2 linked regions of the Saccharomyces cerevisiae S288C genome follow. The gene in region 1 interacts genetically with each later gene. Each region holds a gene or a part of one and is shown on either strand. Other genes may lie near its edges.

What was found.
Region 2: mutations in INP2 (region 1) and SKN1 together harm fitness more than expected from each alone (negative genetic interaction), as found in Saccharomyces cerevisiae (one large-scale study listed by BioGRID).

The regions. Positions count from the first base shown.
Region 1 is NC_001145.3:581,990-589,592, reverse strand, and holds INP2 (Inp2p), read left to right. Parts: upstream 1-3,204; coding exon 3,205-5,322; downstream 5,323-7,603. Other genes in the region: MSS11 (Mss11p), read left to right, coding at 43-2,319; aminophospholipid-translocating P4-type ATPase DNF3, read left to right, coding at 5,672-7,603. UniProt on the Saccharomyces cerevisiae protein: Required for peroxisome inheritance. Acts as the peroxisome-specific receptor for the myosin V motor MYO2.
Region 2 is NC_001139.9:771,422-779,378, reverse strand, and holds SKN1 (beta-glucan synthesis-associated protein SKN1), read right to left. Parts: upstream 4,187-7,957; coding exon 1,871-4,186; downstream 1-1,870. Other genes in the region: BTN2 (Btn2p), read right to left, coding at 5,693-6,925; VPS62 (Vps62p), read right to left, coding at 7,407-7,957. UniProt on the Saccharomyces cerevisiae protein: Required for synthesis of the major beta-glucans of the yeast cell wall.

The sequences.
Region 1 (7,603 bases):
GTTAAACTGCAGTGAAATAAGAAAAAGGTGCATGATAAAGATATGGATAACACGACCAATATTAATACAAATGAGCGCTCTAGTAACACGGATTTTAGCTCAGCTCCCAATATCAAAGGTTTGAATAGCCATACTCAGTTGCAGTTTGATGCGGATTCTCGAGTTTTCGTTTCGGATGTAATGGCTAAGAACTCTAAGCAATTATTGTACGCCCATATTTATAACTATTTAATCAAAAACAATTACTGGAACTCTGCCGCAAAATTTTTAAGCGAAGCTGACCTTCCTTTATCTAGAATAAACGGATCTGCTTCGGGTGGGAAAACTAGCTTGAACGCCAGCCTGAAGCAGGGATTAATGGATATTGCATCTAAGGGTGACATTGTTAGTGAAGATGGGCTATTACCTTCGAAAATGCTGATGGACGCTAATGACACGTTTTTACTGGAATGGTGGGAAATTTTTCAATCATTGTTCAATGGAGACCTAGAATCTGGGTACCAACAGGATCATAATCCTTTAAGAGAGAGAATAATACCAATTTTGCCAGCTAATTCTAAATCTAATATGCCTTCCCATTTCTCTAATCTCCCACCAAATGTGATTCCACCAACTCAAAATAGTTTTCCAGTTTCAGAGGAGAGTTTTAGGCCCAATGGTGACGGAAGTAACTTTAATTTAAACGATCCAACCAATCGAAACGTCTCCGAAAGATTTCTATCGAGAACTTCCGGTGTCTACGACAAACAGAATAGCGCTAATTTTGCACCTGATACTGCTATAAACAGTGATATTGCTGGGCAGCAGTACGCAACTATAAATCTACATAAACACTTCAATGATTTGCAATCACCAGCACAGCCCCAGCAATCATCTCAACAGCAGATCCAGCAGCCTCAGCATCAACCCCAGCATCAACCGCAACAGCAACAGCAACAGCAACAACAACAACAACAACAGCAACAGCAACAGCAACAGCAACAGCAGCAACAGCAACAGCAACAGCAACAACATCAACAGCAGCAACAGACACCGTATCCTATTGTCAACCCACAAATGGTCCCTCATATTCCATCGGAAAATTCTCATTCAACCGGACTTATGCCTTCAGTGCCTCCTACAAATCAACAATTTAATGCACAAACCCAATCTTCAATGTTTTCAGACCAGCAGCGCTTCTTTCAATATCAATTACACCACCAAAATCAAGGACAGGCGCCATCTTTTCAGCAAAGCCAATCTGGCAGGTTTGATGACATGAACGCTATGAAAATGTTTTTTCAGCAGCAAGCACTACAGCAAAATTCACTACAGCAAAATCTTGGAAATCAAAATTATCAATCTAATACACGTAACAATACTGCGGAAGAAACTACGCCCACAAATGACAATAACGCAAATGGCAATAGTTTATTGCAAGAACACATACGAGCCCGCTTCAATAAGATGAAAACAATTCCTCAACAAATGAAAAATCAAAGCACTGTCGCAAATCCGGTTGTTAGTGATATAACATCTCAACAGCAGTACATGCATATGATGATGCAAAGAATGGCGGCTAACCAGCAATTACAAAATAGTGCCTTTCCTCCAGACACTAATCGTATAGCGCCAGCTAACAACACTATGCCATTACAACCAGGAAATATGGGGTCTCCTGTCATTGAAAATCCAGGTATGAGGCAGACTAATCCATCCGGACAAAACCCTATGATCAATATGCAGCCCTTATATCAAAATGTTTCTTCCGCAATGCATGCGTTCGCTCCGCAACAACAATTTCATCTACCACAACATTATAAAACCAATACTTCAGTACCACAAAATGATTCTACCTCCGTCTTTCCTTTGCCTAACAATAACAATAACAATAACAACAACAACAATAATAATAATAATAATAATAGTAATAATAGTAATAATAATAATAATAATAATAATAATAATAATAATAGTAATAATACACCCACAGTATCACAACCATCATCAAAATGTACTTCTAGCTCCAGCACAACTCCTAATATAACTACAACAATTCAACCCAAGCGGAAACAGAGAGTGGGTAAAACAAAGACCAAGGAATCAAGAAAAGTTGCTGCAGCTCAGAAAGTTATGAAATCTAAGAAACTGGAACAAAATGGTGATTCAGCTGCTACAAACTTCATCAATGTCACTCCAAAGGACAGTGGCGGTAAGGGTACCGTAAAAGTTCAAAACAGTAACTCGCAGCAACAACTAAATGGCTCTTTTTCTATGGATACAGAAACATTCGACATATTTAACATTGGTGACTTTTCTCCTGATCTAATGGATAGCTAAAACCTATTAAACAACAAAAAGTGTTTCATCGTCATTCTTCCAATACTAACCGTTGCATCTTTTCTTTCATATGAGTAGTATGTTTCTAATTTGAATCTTTAAGAAAATTGTTTGTCTGTATTTGTCGGAACGATTTTTGGGATCATCGTTCAGTGCAGGTGTATCGTTTCTCAAATGAAGTGTGAAACTTACTTCTCACTTAGGTTTTCAAAATAATGGCATATAAAGATGGTCTAACATCTATACATATTTTTGACCAAGCAGGAGTCAATCGTTAGAGTAAGTGAGTATATCAGTTTAGTTATTTTAAATTAGACAATGTAATGGAGGGGTGCCAGTGACACTATATAAAATAAAAAAAAAATTTGCATCTGGTGCGCAATAGCGTTCTTGTAACCAAATTTCTATTCCGGTCGAATTTAAACTAGCAAGAAAATAGGTAAGCAAGCTATCTGGCCAGCTAAAAAGACGGTGCCTCAAAGTTTTCGGAATTTTTATATTTAATTCCTAACATATTTAGAGAAATGTAGCATACTCTTTATACAGAATTCTCCAACTTACTATGGTTTCGTGGTCTAGTCGGTTATGGCATCTGCTTAACACGCAGAACGTCCCCAGTTCGATCCTGGGCGAAATCATTTTTTTGAAGACATCCCGCATGAAAACATCAAAACGTAAATAAAAACACTTGATCTGAAAATAAACTAAACATTCATCTTCACCCAATATCATAAATGATTAGGTGACTACCGGATACTAGACGGTTATAGGAGTTTTATCAAAGGTCAAAATCTCACCCCCTCAATAACTGCTCGGCATACCTCACGCTTATTGCAACAAGTTTGTTTTTACTTACTTGTGAAACGTTTGTTGATTAACTTAATAATGACAACAAACTCACGTCCATCCGCCTTGCAGGCTCCCGGTTTACAGATTTTTTCCATGCTGAAATCAAGCGAAGAGGATGGATTCATGAGTTCTAGTCTAACCCTTGATAGTGATAACATAATAGGTGTCACCGAGAACAATCGTCAAGAATTTTACTCTACGTGGCGAAAACCGTCCCTATTAAGCAGCCGCAGCGTATTACATGAATACTCCCCTACAATTGTGGGATCTAATGACTGTACTTTTTCACCTATAACCGTAGGAAAAACAACGAAGTTTTTTAATTGGGATGATATTATTTCAAGAATTTTCATGCAACAGCCATTCGGTGTAACACACCAATTCTTTGAAGAATTTCGGTATTCAATCATTACTTCTCATTTTTTGAATGATATGAATCATTACAGGTTATCACTACATCTTGATCAATCTATTATGAACTTTCATAAAAGCTCAACTTTGTTAAAGAATGTACCTCCCAAATCTGTACCATTTATGGCGACAAAATATGGTAAATTGGCGGTAGCAGAGGACAAAAAATTATATTTCAGACAAAATTTCAACTACCTTTCGATGATTATAACCTCTTATCGAGTACTTACACAGTTGAAAAAATACTGTAGAAAAAAAAATAGTCCAGGTCTGAAGAGAGTTGTAATTTTAATACTCGTAGCAGTGTATTTATCAATTCAGCAAGAATACTTTCGAAGACATTTGATTTGCTATAAAACCTTATTAAAGGTACGGAAAGTGCTCGAATCATTACAACAAGTGGATGTAATGATTCATAAATATCATCTTCGATTTAAAGAAATAAAAAATCATAGTTTTATATCAAGAGTGTCTCTTATTTCAATTGCTGACGAGCACTCATCTGTGATAAAAGAGCTCCTAGTATTCTCAAGTGATGCACTGTTTTATAAACTCAAATCAATCATTCCAGATATTGTCATCTTTAGCGATACAAGTGAGCTATCGAAATACTGTGAATTATACGGTATCGATGTACCAAATCTTTACTATAATAATACTACCACAGTAAAAGACCTTGATGGTAAGCTTTATCGTCTCAAACTGCTAAAGAAATTTATGCTCTGTTGTTTGCTGTCTTTAGATATGACAGGAAACGAAAATCTTTCAAATGTAAACATGAGAAACGCACTAAACAAAATCTTTCCAGATTACATGGCAAGGGTGCAACTCAAAAAAAAATATAATCCAATAGGTACATTCCAAAATATAGTTAGTCTATTAAGAGGATTACATTCACTACTCTCCACTGTCCTGGTGTCTTTGAATGACCATAAGCAAATATTGTATGCATTTCCTGAAGAAACATCAACTAATACTGGTTGTGAAAGAGCAAATGTATGTTCATTTTCAAAGAATGATAAATTGTTTCAGGCACTTAATTACTTAAAAATGATCGAGAACAATCTATTAGCTATTGACATTCGAAATGGCATAACAGAGAATGATAGGAACATCATTGAGGATAAGTTGGAGGAGCTCATTACTTTCTGGAAAACCTCGAAAATTTGTGGCAATATTTCTAGGATACAAAAGGTATCCCCAACCAATACAATCAACCATGGTTTCCATCTGGATATCCTCAAAGGCAGAAAGTCACCCCGTTCTTCGTCAGTACAAGGTCTTAGCTTAGAGAGGAAAGTTGACTTCATTGATGTTGCTGAATCGGTGAATGACTCTTTTGAAAACGACACCGAACTAGAGGAATATGAAGACTACGACTGTCAGGAGGAATGTTCTGCCGGTTCACGCCAAAATCACCGCGTAGATTTTATCGGAAAGGATAGTTGTAGGAAACCAGATTTCAAGCAACTTTCTGACAACGAATTACGACGCAAGTTAGATGAAAGAATTTTGAAATTGGCTCAAGAAAACCGTGAAGGCAGGGAAAGGCTAAGAACTGCAAAGTCCTTTGAATTGCTAAGAAAAGCTCAGGCTTCCATGTCCGTAAAGTTTGGCTTTCAAAAACCATTAAGAGACGATGCCTTTCTTGAGAGCAGGCCTCTCAGCAAATGCAAAGTATCTTCGGAAGAAACTATCCCATTTTTGTATGAATTAAAAGGATTACTAGGAAATGATTCATGATAATATATTTTAATATGTACTTTGAAATAACTAATTACACTTTAATCATATTTTCTAAATAAGCAAATGACGGGCTGCGCAGCCGGGTTATTTTCGACCCCAGTCTGTCAAGTGCTTTAAGTAAGCGAATATTTAACAAAGAAGAATTCAATATTGCAGGAAGTCTTGAGAAAAGATCAAGTGCCAAATTACCCCATTGCTTTTGGACTATTCATTCACTCTTTTCTTTTTTGTTATTTCTTTTATTTGACCTTTATCGTTATATACACATAGCTTCCATACAGCAAATAAACATCCTAATTGAAGTAGATAATTTAATTCCATTCTTTATTAAAAAGAAAAAAATATTATGGGCATAGCTGATGGGCAAAGAAGAAGATCTTCATCACTACGAACGCAGATGTTCAACAAGCATTTGTATGATAAATATCGCGGAAGAACTGATGATGAGATAGAGTTAGAAGATATAAATGAGAGTAAGACGTTCTCCGGTAGCGATAATAACGATAAAGATGACAGAGATGAAACAAGCGGCAATTATGCTGCTGAAGAGGATTATGAAATGGAAGAGTATGGTAGTCCTGATGTGTCATATAGCATTATCACTAAAATACTTGATACTATCCTAGATCGAAGGAGGACGTTCCATTCGAAAGACGGTAGACATATTCCGATTATATTAGATCATAATGCAATTGAATACAAACAAGCTGCTACTAAAAGGGATGGTCATTTGATAGACGAAAGGTTCAACAAGCCTTACTGCGACAACCGAATAACTTCATCAAGATATACATTCTATTCCTTTTTGCCTAGACAGTTGTATGCACAATTTTCAAAGTTAGCCAATACTTATTTTTTCATTGTCGCAGTATTACAAATGATACCTGGATGGTCTACAACTGGTACTTATACAACTATTATCCCCTTATGTGTATTTATGGGTATATCCATGACAAGAGAGGCTTGGGACGATTTCAGGAGACATCGTTTAGATAAGGAAGAGAACAATAAACCAGTGGGAGTGTTGGTTAAAGATGGAAATAATGACGCACAAGAAGTTTATACACTACCAAGTAGTGTTGTCTCATCCACTGCATATCTAACTAAATCGGCCGCTGCTGAAAATAATCCACCTTTAAACGATGATCGGAACTCCTCTCAAGGACACTTCTTAGACACGCACTTCAATAACTTTGAACTACTCAAGAATAAATACAATGTTCATATTCATCAAAAGAAGTGGGAAAAACTTCGTGTTGGAGACTTCGTACTTCTCACACAAGATGATTGGGTACCTGCAGATCTGCTTTTATTGACATGTGACGGCGAAAATAGCGAATGTTTCGTTGAAACGATGGCTTTAGATGGCGAAACAAATTTGAAAAGTAAACAACCCCATCCAGAATTAAATAAGTTAACCAAAGCCGCATCAGGTCTTGCAAATATTAATGCTCAAGTTACCGTGGAAGATCCCAATATTGATTTATATAATTTTGAAGGTAATCTTGAATTGAAAAACCATCGCAATGATACCATAATGAAATACCCTCTAGGTCCTGATAATGTCATTTATCGTGGTAGTATTTTGAGGAATACTCAAAATGTTGTTGGTATGGTCATTTTCAGTGGTGAGGAAACAAAAATCAGAATGAATGCTTTAAAAAACCCAAGAACGAAAGCCCCTAAGCTACAAAGGAAGATAAATATGATTATCGTGTTTATGGTGTTTGTCGTTGCCACAATATCTTTATTTTCTTATCTTGGCCATGTTTTGCATAAGAAAAAATATATCGACCAGAACAAAGCATGGTATCTATTTCAGGCAGATGCTGGCGTAGCACCCACAATAATGTCTTTTATCATCATGTATAACACTGTGATTCCTTTGTCCCTATATGTAACAATGGAAATTATCAAGGTAGTCCAAAGTAAAATGATGGAATGGGACATAGACATGTACCATGCAGAAACGAACACGCCATGCGAATCGAGAACTGCCACCATTCTGGAGGAATTGGGGCAAGTATCTTATATTTTTAGTGATAAAACCGGAACGCTGACGGATAATAAGATGATATTTCGGAAATTTTCTTTATGTGGATCATCTTGGCTGCATAATGTAGATCTCGGTAATTCTGAGGATAACTTTGAAGACAACAGAGACAATACGAACTCCTTGAGACTACCACCAAAAGCTCACAACGGCTCTAGTATAGACGTTGTTTCCATTGGAGATCAAAATGTTCTTGATCGGTTAGGATTTTCGGACGCACCAATT
Region 2 (7,957 bases), on another chromosome or scaffold:
TCGATGAAATAGTAGGATAGTGAAACATATAAAATGGAAAAGAAATAATAATACTATTAGGTAGATATATTGATTCCCTTTGGATTCCTGTATCTTGCAGAAGAACTTTCAACATTTTTTCTATACGCAATATCGTAGCCTGTAACAATAATTGTTGGGATTCCATTATTGATAAAGCAATAATGTTAGGTATGTAGGATATACTAGAATTTCTACTCGAGGGTATAGGAATCCTCAAAATAGAATCGAAATTTCTACATAATAATTGAAGAGAGTGTGGGTTCTGATGTAATTGTTGGGATTCCATTGTGATTAAGGCTATAATATTAGGTATGTAGATATACTAGAAGTTCTCCTCAAGGATTTAGGAATCCATAAAAGGGAATCTGTAATTCTACACAATTCTATAAATATTATTATCATCGTTTTATATGTTAATATTCATTGATCCTATTACATCAATGCTTGCATTTCAGCTTCCTCTAACTTCGATGGCAACTTTTCATACCTTATGTCACCATCTAACGCCTTATATGACAATATACTGACATTAGGAATACTAGTTGATATAAGATAGTGGATTTTTATTCCAACAAATTTTCAGCTCCTTTTTTTCCTAGGTTATAAATAAAAACAGTTAATGAGAAATGAAAATTCTTGTCTTTACTCAAGCAGGAATTACGAAGCCTATCAGTCGCATAATTAATATTGCATATAATGTCTATATCCAACAGTGTTCTTGTAGGGTATAGGAATCCACAAAAAGGAATCAATAAGTTTTACCCTCTACACGTTGTCACCCCTTTCCTTTATCACACTATCAACCCTTGTGTTTGAGCTTCTAATAAATTCGTTCCGGTTGGATCTTATTTTGCTGATTTCATAATTTACCAGCTTCCTAATGGGGTGTTTAGTAGTATTTCTAGCAAAATGAATAATAATATTAACCTCTTTCACGAGTTAAAAAGTTGTTGAATTTCGCGGCAGTAAGAGGGTACCAAAAATACTGGACTAGCAATTGGTTTATTATGAAGTACTTATCCCTGTCTGTACCATATGATATTATTTAGAGAAAGCGCAAGCTTAATACCACCTTGACCTTAAGCAAACTACGTAAGCACTAACTCAAAATAGGTAAACTTCATTGGTCGCAAAAACTGTAGGTCGAATAATATATATGTGTTAGTGTTTATATTTATTTGTAAGCCCTTAAAGAACCCCTGTTTATAAAACGGAGTCAGATGGGAAAGAAGCTATAAAAAGTAATTTCATCGCTGTTTTTCATCTCTACGTCTTAATTTCATTTTCAAATTTGAAGCTTCAACCTTGCTGCGAAAAATCAATAACGGAACAAAAGGTAAAAAAGTAAACAGGACGGTATACTCTTAGCAGTAAACATACATCAAAAACACCGCTTGTAACCACACTATCCTTCCAATTTTGAAATAGCGCAAGTTAACCATTAACGAATAATAATATGATTTAACATAAAATATTGATTAATATAAAAGATTAAAACATATAGAAGATATTTATGTTCTGACAACACGAAAGCTTCTGAGGGCTCCTGTCTTGGTGTTTCTCTGGTAAATAGTGTAACATAACTGTTACAAAAAAAAACTTCAAAAACTCTCCACCTTGTCGACAAATTGCTATCAGATACCAACAGAAATTTTTCGCTAACTTGAATCCGTACTCTAATTTAAAAACTCCAGTGATGATATTATTACAAAGGAAGACCATTTACATGGCTGCTTCCGTACCCAAATCTAGAACTTTCAACGACTGTGACCGCAGACTATTTTGCCTCCTTAGAATTAAAGCGCACTTAGATAGTAGGTTTTAACCAGTTGAAAAAAAAAAATCAACCTCAGGATAATGAGAATTTTGAACTACTACAACCTCCTGTTAGAATATTTTTTGGGAAAGTATATCCAGCCTGTTCCCAATCAGTTAAATTGGCGTTATAATATGCATTTAGATGGCTTTGGATATAATCATATGTCGGGTAGTCCTCAGGATCACAAGTAATGGACGTAGAACCCTTCGGCTGGTATAATCGGACGTAATCTATTGACATTGTCACCGGGAAAAATATATATTGCCAGTCGATATAGGCCCAGTTGTTGGAAATACCTAAGTTTAAAATCGCTGACATTGGCTCCTTACTTATTCTCCTCCAGTCAATATTACCACTAGGATGTAAAGAAGTAGCATATAGTGTGAAAGTAGGGTTCTCTCCCACAAACCAACGAATATATCCGTTGTCGTCATCATTGAGATATTCAATGGCATACTTTTGAAAATAACCTGCTTCCTCCCCAAATTCATACCATGTTACATTTAAAGTGGATATTGCTGAGACAGCTTGTTGAAAAGGCCCACCAGCGTAAGTATTCATAGTTGTTGTGGTGAAATTATAAACTTCGATGAAGTCATAATCGGGCATGTACCATATATCAAATGGAGCAATTTGTAGAGATTGTGACGCAACACCAACACCCAAAATTGTATCAGCTTCACCTTCTAAAATATCTATTTCCGGTGCGCCTCTTCCAACTCCCTGATTTGGATGATCCTCATTATCACAAGTACAAACACTCAACTTTTGTCCCGGCAAGTAAGAAATACCATCTGGGGAACTTTGGTTTGGTGTTATACCAGCGTCACATGCTTCATATGAATAAGGCCAAACACCTTGAGTACTCGCCAAATAACCTGGTCTGCCCAAGTTCCCCATGGTCCACATACCAGGCCATAATCCTGTAACTCGACCATAATTAGGGAGGTTCGCGGAAACTTCTAACGCACCTTCTGTAAAGCAGAGTTTGTTCCAGCTCTGTACCATACCAGATCTGTAATAAAGGTCATGGTTTCTGAATGCATCCATTCTCAACGTCAAGGTACCATTTGTAGTTGTAACGGCATCTGGTGAGTACCATTCAAGATCTTTCGTAGCGTCGTAGTGGATGTCAGGAGCTGTCCAAAACTGGTCATCGCCATCGTAAAAGGTCCTACCTTCAGCATTAAATTCATCGGAAAACACCAGCTGCCATTTAGATCCATCTTTCGCTACTCTTGTCTTCGCACTGTCAGGTGTGTCTGGATCAACTAAAGTTGTCCTTATAGCCGCAAGTTGAGGATATTGATATTCAGTCAATGACTTGGATGTAGTATTAGAAGACGACGATCCTGCTGAATTTGCCGCATGAACATGTTCATGATGATAAACTACCCCGGAAAATGTAATTGCAGGTAATACAATGAAAATAAATATACCAGCCATAAATAAAAATAGAATACCCAGAAGCCCCAAGAAAGATCTTCTATCCATGTGTTTGAAGTCGTCAACGAACCTCCTTCTATCTAACTTTGCTTCTTCCTCGACATTTGGATTATGAATGTAGTCATCGTCTTCCTTTTCGTCCAACGTTAACGGAAAGAAGGAAGCTGGATAACCGCCAAAGGGCGAAAAATCCTGTTCGCCCATGTATAAGTTGGTGGATGATAATGAAGAGTCGTGAGCAGAAGAAGATGAGCCAGTCATATTCGCTCTTTTCTTTTCATTTATAAGGTTCTGCGACTGAGATTGAGCCGCTGAAATATGCCTCGTTCCTACTAGCGGATATCTGTCAAAAGGTGGTGGAGACTTAATTAAGCTGTTGTTAGAAAAGCTACTCATATTATTTGAAGAAGGATGAGACGGTAAGTTTCTGTCCGGCGGCTGTAAATGTGATGCAAAACTATTATCGTTACTACTGCTTATAATGTTCTTATAATTATTGTTATTATGATTGTTTAAGTTATTAGCAGAAGTTAGGTTAGTCTTAGCATAATAGCCCTTATAGTCTGACATTCTTTGACCATTTCTCTCGGGTGAGTTCTTTTCATTAGCCAGAAGAGAAGTATCGCTGTTAGGATCGTTATTATAATTTATGGATGAAGAACTGGAATATTCATTTGCCCCACGCCGCTCATCGTCTCCACTGGGTGAATTATAATCTTCGTCAAATTCTTCACTTCCAAGGAAAGGATTACCGCTCACCCTAACGTTCTGACCATCTGCAGGTTCTAATGATGAGCTTTGTCTTGATTGCTCATTCGAGGAATAAAAGGAGTTTTCGCTTCCGGAAACACTATTTTCGCTGTTGGAATGACGATTATTGGTGAGGTTTCGCACAGACATATTCTGCTATTGTTTATGTAACACTAGCTAGTAATGGTTATAATATACTGTGTGCAATAGGCTTAGATCTGCTGTGTTTTTCTTATTATTTACCGTTTCTTTATTTCCTATTCCTTGCGTAACCGCTAACGATTGTAATAATTTTATCAAACCTGTAAAAGTTTCTACCAGCTGCGTAGAATCAAATGGAATATGGGTTGTTTTTTCGAGCGACTGAAAATACGAAGAGGCACTTTGTAGTCGGAGTAAATCGATAGTTGTAGTAGAATATACTGGTTTAATATTCTTCTTCTCTTTCTCTTTTAGCTTTTTTTTAGCAATGCGAATTTTTTCTCCTTAGAAGGTAGGTCTCCCTATTTTGGTCAGTTTTAAACGGTTCGCAGAGCGATATCGTTTGAATGCAGCAATGTAGTAGGCAAAAAAAAAGGGACAAGAATATACAGTGCCGAAACGTCTATGTACAGTGATGGCAGTTGGAGGAAGGCCTATGTGAAAGAAAACTATATGCTGTTATGCTCGGGAATATATAGTAATCTGCGCAGAGATACATGTTCGGCACAGGCTCACCTGGGCCTACTAATTACGCATCGATGTTGACCAATTTTCCGCTTTGGGCACGCATTCATTTGTTTTCCTTTTTAAAACAACTCAGATCGTATTTGTCTCAGCACCCACACCTTGCACCAGGGTCCGTTTACCCATTTGAGGAATATGTTTCTAAAAAAAAAGAGCCGTAATATTCCAGTATACCTCATTAAAAGTAAAAAAATTTGGACGAGTCCGGAATCGAACCGGAGACCTCTCCCATGCTAAGGGAGCGCGCTACCGACTACGCCACACGCCCAATTAATTGATGAAAGGGGAGAATAGAGAAGAATAATGAAGTAAATCTAATGAAATATCAAAAAGCCATTCTCAACGTAACATTTACTCAATTATCTTCAGGGCAGGAAGGGGAGAAGAAAAAAAAAGCTCTTTTACTTGATTACTGTTTCCGTTAATTTGAACTTAATTTTTCTAAAGATGGAATTGAGATATTGGTGAATTTTGAGATAATTGTTGGGATTCCATTGTTAATAACAGTAGTAATATTAGGTATATAGAATATACTAGAAGTTCTCCTCGAGGGTATAGGAATCCTCAAAATAGAATCGATAAACGATAGTTGAATTCTATTCAAGCAGAAATGAATTTCAATCATTCGATAAAGTAGCTTGTATTTTGTGAATCACTTGCCATTCCACCATAAAATACTAGCATAAATGTTAACATGGAAAACCGGATTTCTAGGAAGCAAATAATTGTACTAAAATCACGGATACTAATAATTTCTACTTTACTGTTGCCCTTTTATTTTGTTATATTGTAACAAAATAAATCCGCCTTCTGCCGTGCCGATTTATATTCCTTTCATAAAGTCAGTGAATTATAGTAGTATATAAGATGCATATAATTAGTTATTTAATGCCGTAAAAATGAAAGATGGGGAGTATGTATTATCACCCATTATATCTCCTCAATAATAGAGTTTCCCTTGGGAGATCTGCTTAGGGACTCGTTGTATCTGTCAACTTCCTCATCCTCAACGTCTTCTAATAGGGGTGAAGCGTGTTTTTTTAGTGTATTACCAGACACAGAGAAATCCAAAGTCGTATCAGAATCACTGTTTATACTTTCATTATCACTTTCTGCTGAACCAGAATTGCTATTATTATTTTTATTGCTGGCCTCAATCTCAGAGATAGGCAATGATTTGGAATTTTGCAATTTTTTTTGCTGGGACCTCTTGGTTTTTTGCTTATTTATCAAAGATTCTTTCCTTGCCTTCAATCTGGCTTCCTTCTCTTTCTTTTGCCTTTCTTCATCTTCCTTGGCAGCTTTTTCCTGTTCTGATTTTCTGCTTTCCTCCTGCATCAATCTTTCTTCCTCTATCCATTTTTTTATTTGGTCTTCTTTGGTTAGTGGTTCTTTCGCTTTCTCCGCTTCTTCCTCCTTCAAAGATTCAGACATGTTAACATCATCGTGAGACTCGTCTATTTTGGATTCAATTATTGGCATCTTTGGTTCGTTGATGCCACCTTCGGAAATTTCTTCCTCATGCTTAACTAAACCAATCTTTAAAAGTGCATATTTTTCTCTCGAGCCATCATCTATGTTTTCAACTCCACAGCCAATAACAAAAACATCTTCAAACACTTGGTCTAGAGAGAATTCCTTAAAGATTTTATCCTTCTTACTCAATATGCTCAATTCATCACCTCTATGATTCAATTCTATTTCGTAGTCTTGGAAAAGATCCTTAGCAATTTTCTTTCCTATGGCTCTAAAATCCAGATCTTTCAATGCAGATCTCAATAGAGCATCTTCATCCGCTTCATCTTCAACATAATACTGGTTTCCAAAAAAATCTTGGACAACATGGTAAGTTGGTCTGTAATGGTTCTCCTTTAGCTCACCTAATTTCTCATTAACGTACTTTGAAAAAAGTTCATATGGAATCCGCTTAGACAAGCTTAATGTATAACCATTTGGTGTTTCAGCAAGTGCATACCTCAAAGGTTCTGAACAATTTGCATCGCTTTTTTTTGGAGCTCTTAGGTTAGCTTTTATTGCTTTCCTCCTTTTACATTCTGGATAATAGCTCACTGGAGAACTGCAATCAAAATAACGCGAATGTAGGGGCTGACTAAAAGATGGCAGCTGTTCAAAAACACATGGTGAATTGAATATGGAAAACATTTCTATATTGTAATGGGGTCTATTAGTTATTTTCTTTTGGTTGTTGTTATGATTGTAATACTGATATTTCTTTCAAGAAGAAGAAAATATATATAGAGCAATGAGAATACCTGTCAATGAGAAAAGATTGTTCTAATGCTTTTATATATGTAATGCAATAGATCTTCCATTTGTTTTGCCACTTTACTTCGCCAAGAACTGAAGGCTTCTATGAAATTCTTAATTCTTCCATCCTGGGCGGCTGTTAGCCCAACCCGACCTGGTTCGGAATATCGCCGAACAAGAAAACTGGATACAACTCTCGAGCTCCACCGAGTGTCGCAATTTTCCGGAACTTTCTAGAAAAAAAAGTGTCAGTAACTTTACAACCACAGACGGTGCGAAAGAAAAAAAGAAAAATACGGCTGAAATAGTGCTACATGACGATGCACAGTACATACACTACAGCATGCTAAAATAGCGAAAAACGCCCAAATATTCATTACCCTGTAAAGTAGTCCATAATGAAACATACGCTTCCCCTCCACGTCAAAAAACGGAGTATGCTACGCAGCCACTTTGGCCTTATGTTGTACAGCAAGATACCACAATTGTCACCCACAAGATCATTCTTTTCTGCATCCAAACCTTCCCCTCTTTTTATATATCTTCTTGCCGGGCAGCCCTTCCAAAAATTCCACCATTTAAATCTTTGGCATAAAGAAACCCTTTCCATATTTTTGAATAGTGGACCTTTTGGTCCGTCAATATATTTCCATTGAAATGGGCACCATTTTTGTCTGGGATCCCTAGGTCTTAATTGTTTATCGCCCCAAGCGCCTTTGAACGATAGCCATTCTAGTCCCATTTTAGTTTCTTCAGCGCCGCATGGTGTCATTTTTTCCCCCACAGTCACTGTATAGGCATAATAGTTTAAAGAAGGATCCCATAATGGCCCTCTATCAGTAAAGTCACTCAATGGCATAAAGAAAAACGGAACATCGTGCGCATGTTGACCGACTGATGCATAATGTGCATGTGTGCCTCTTGCAC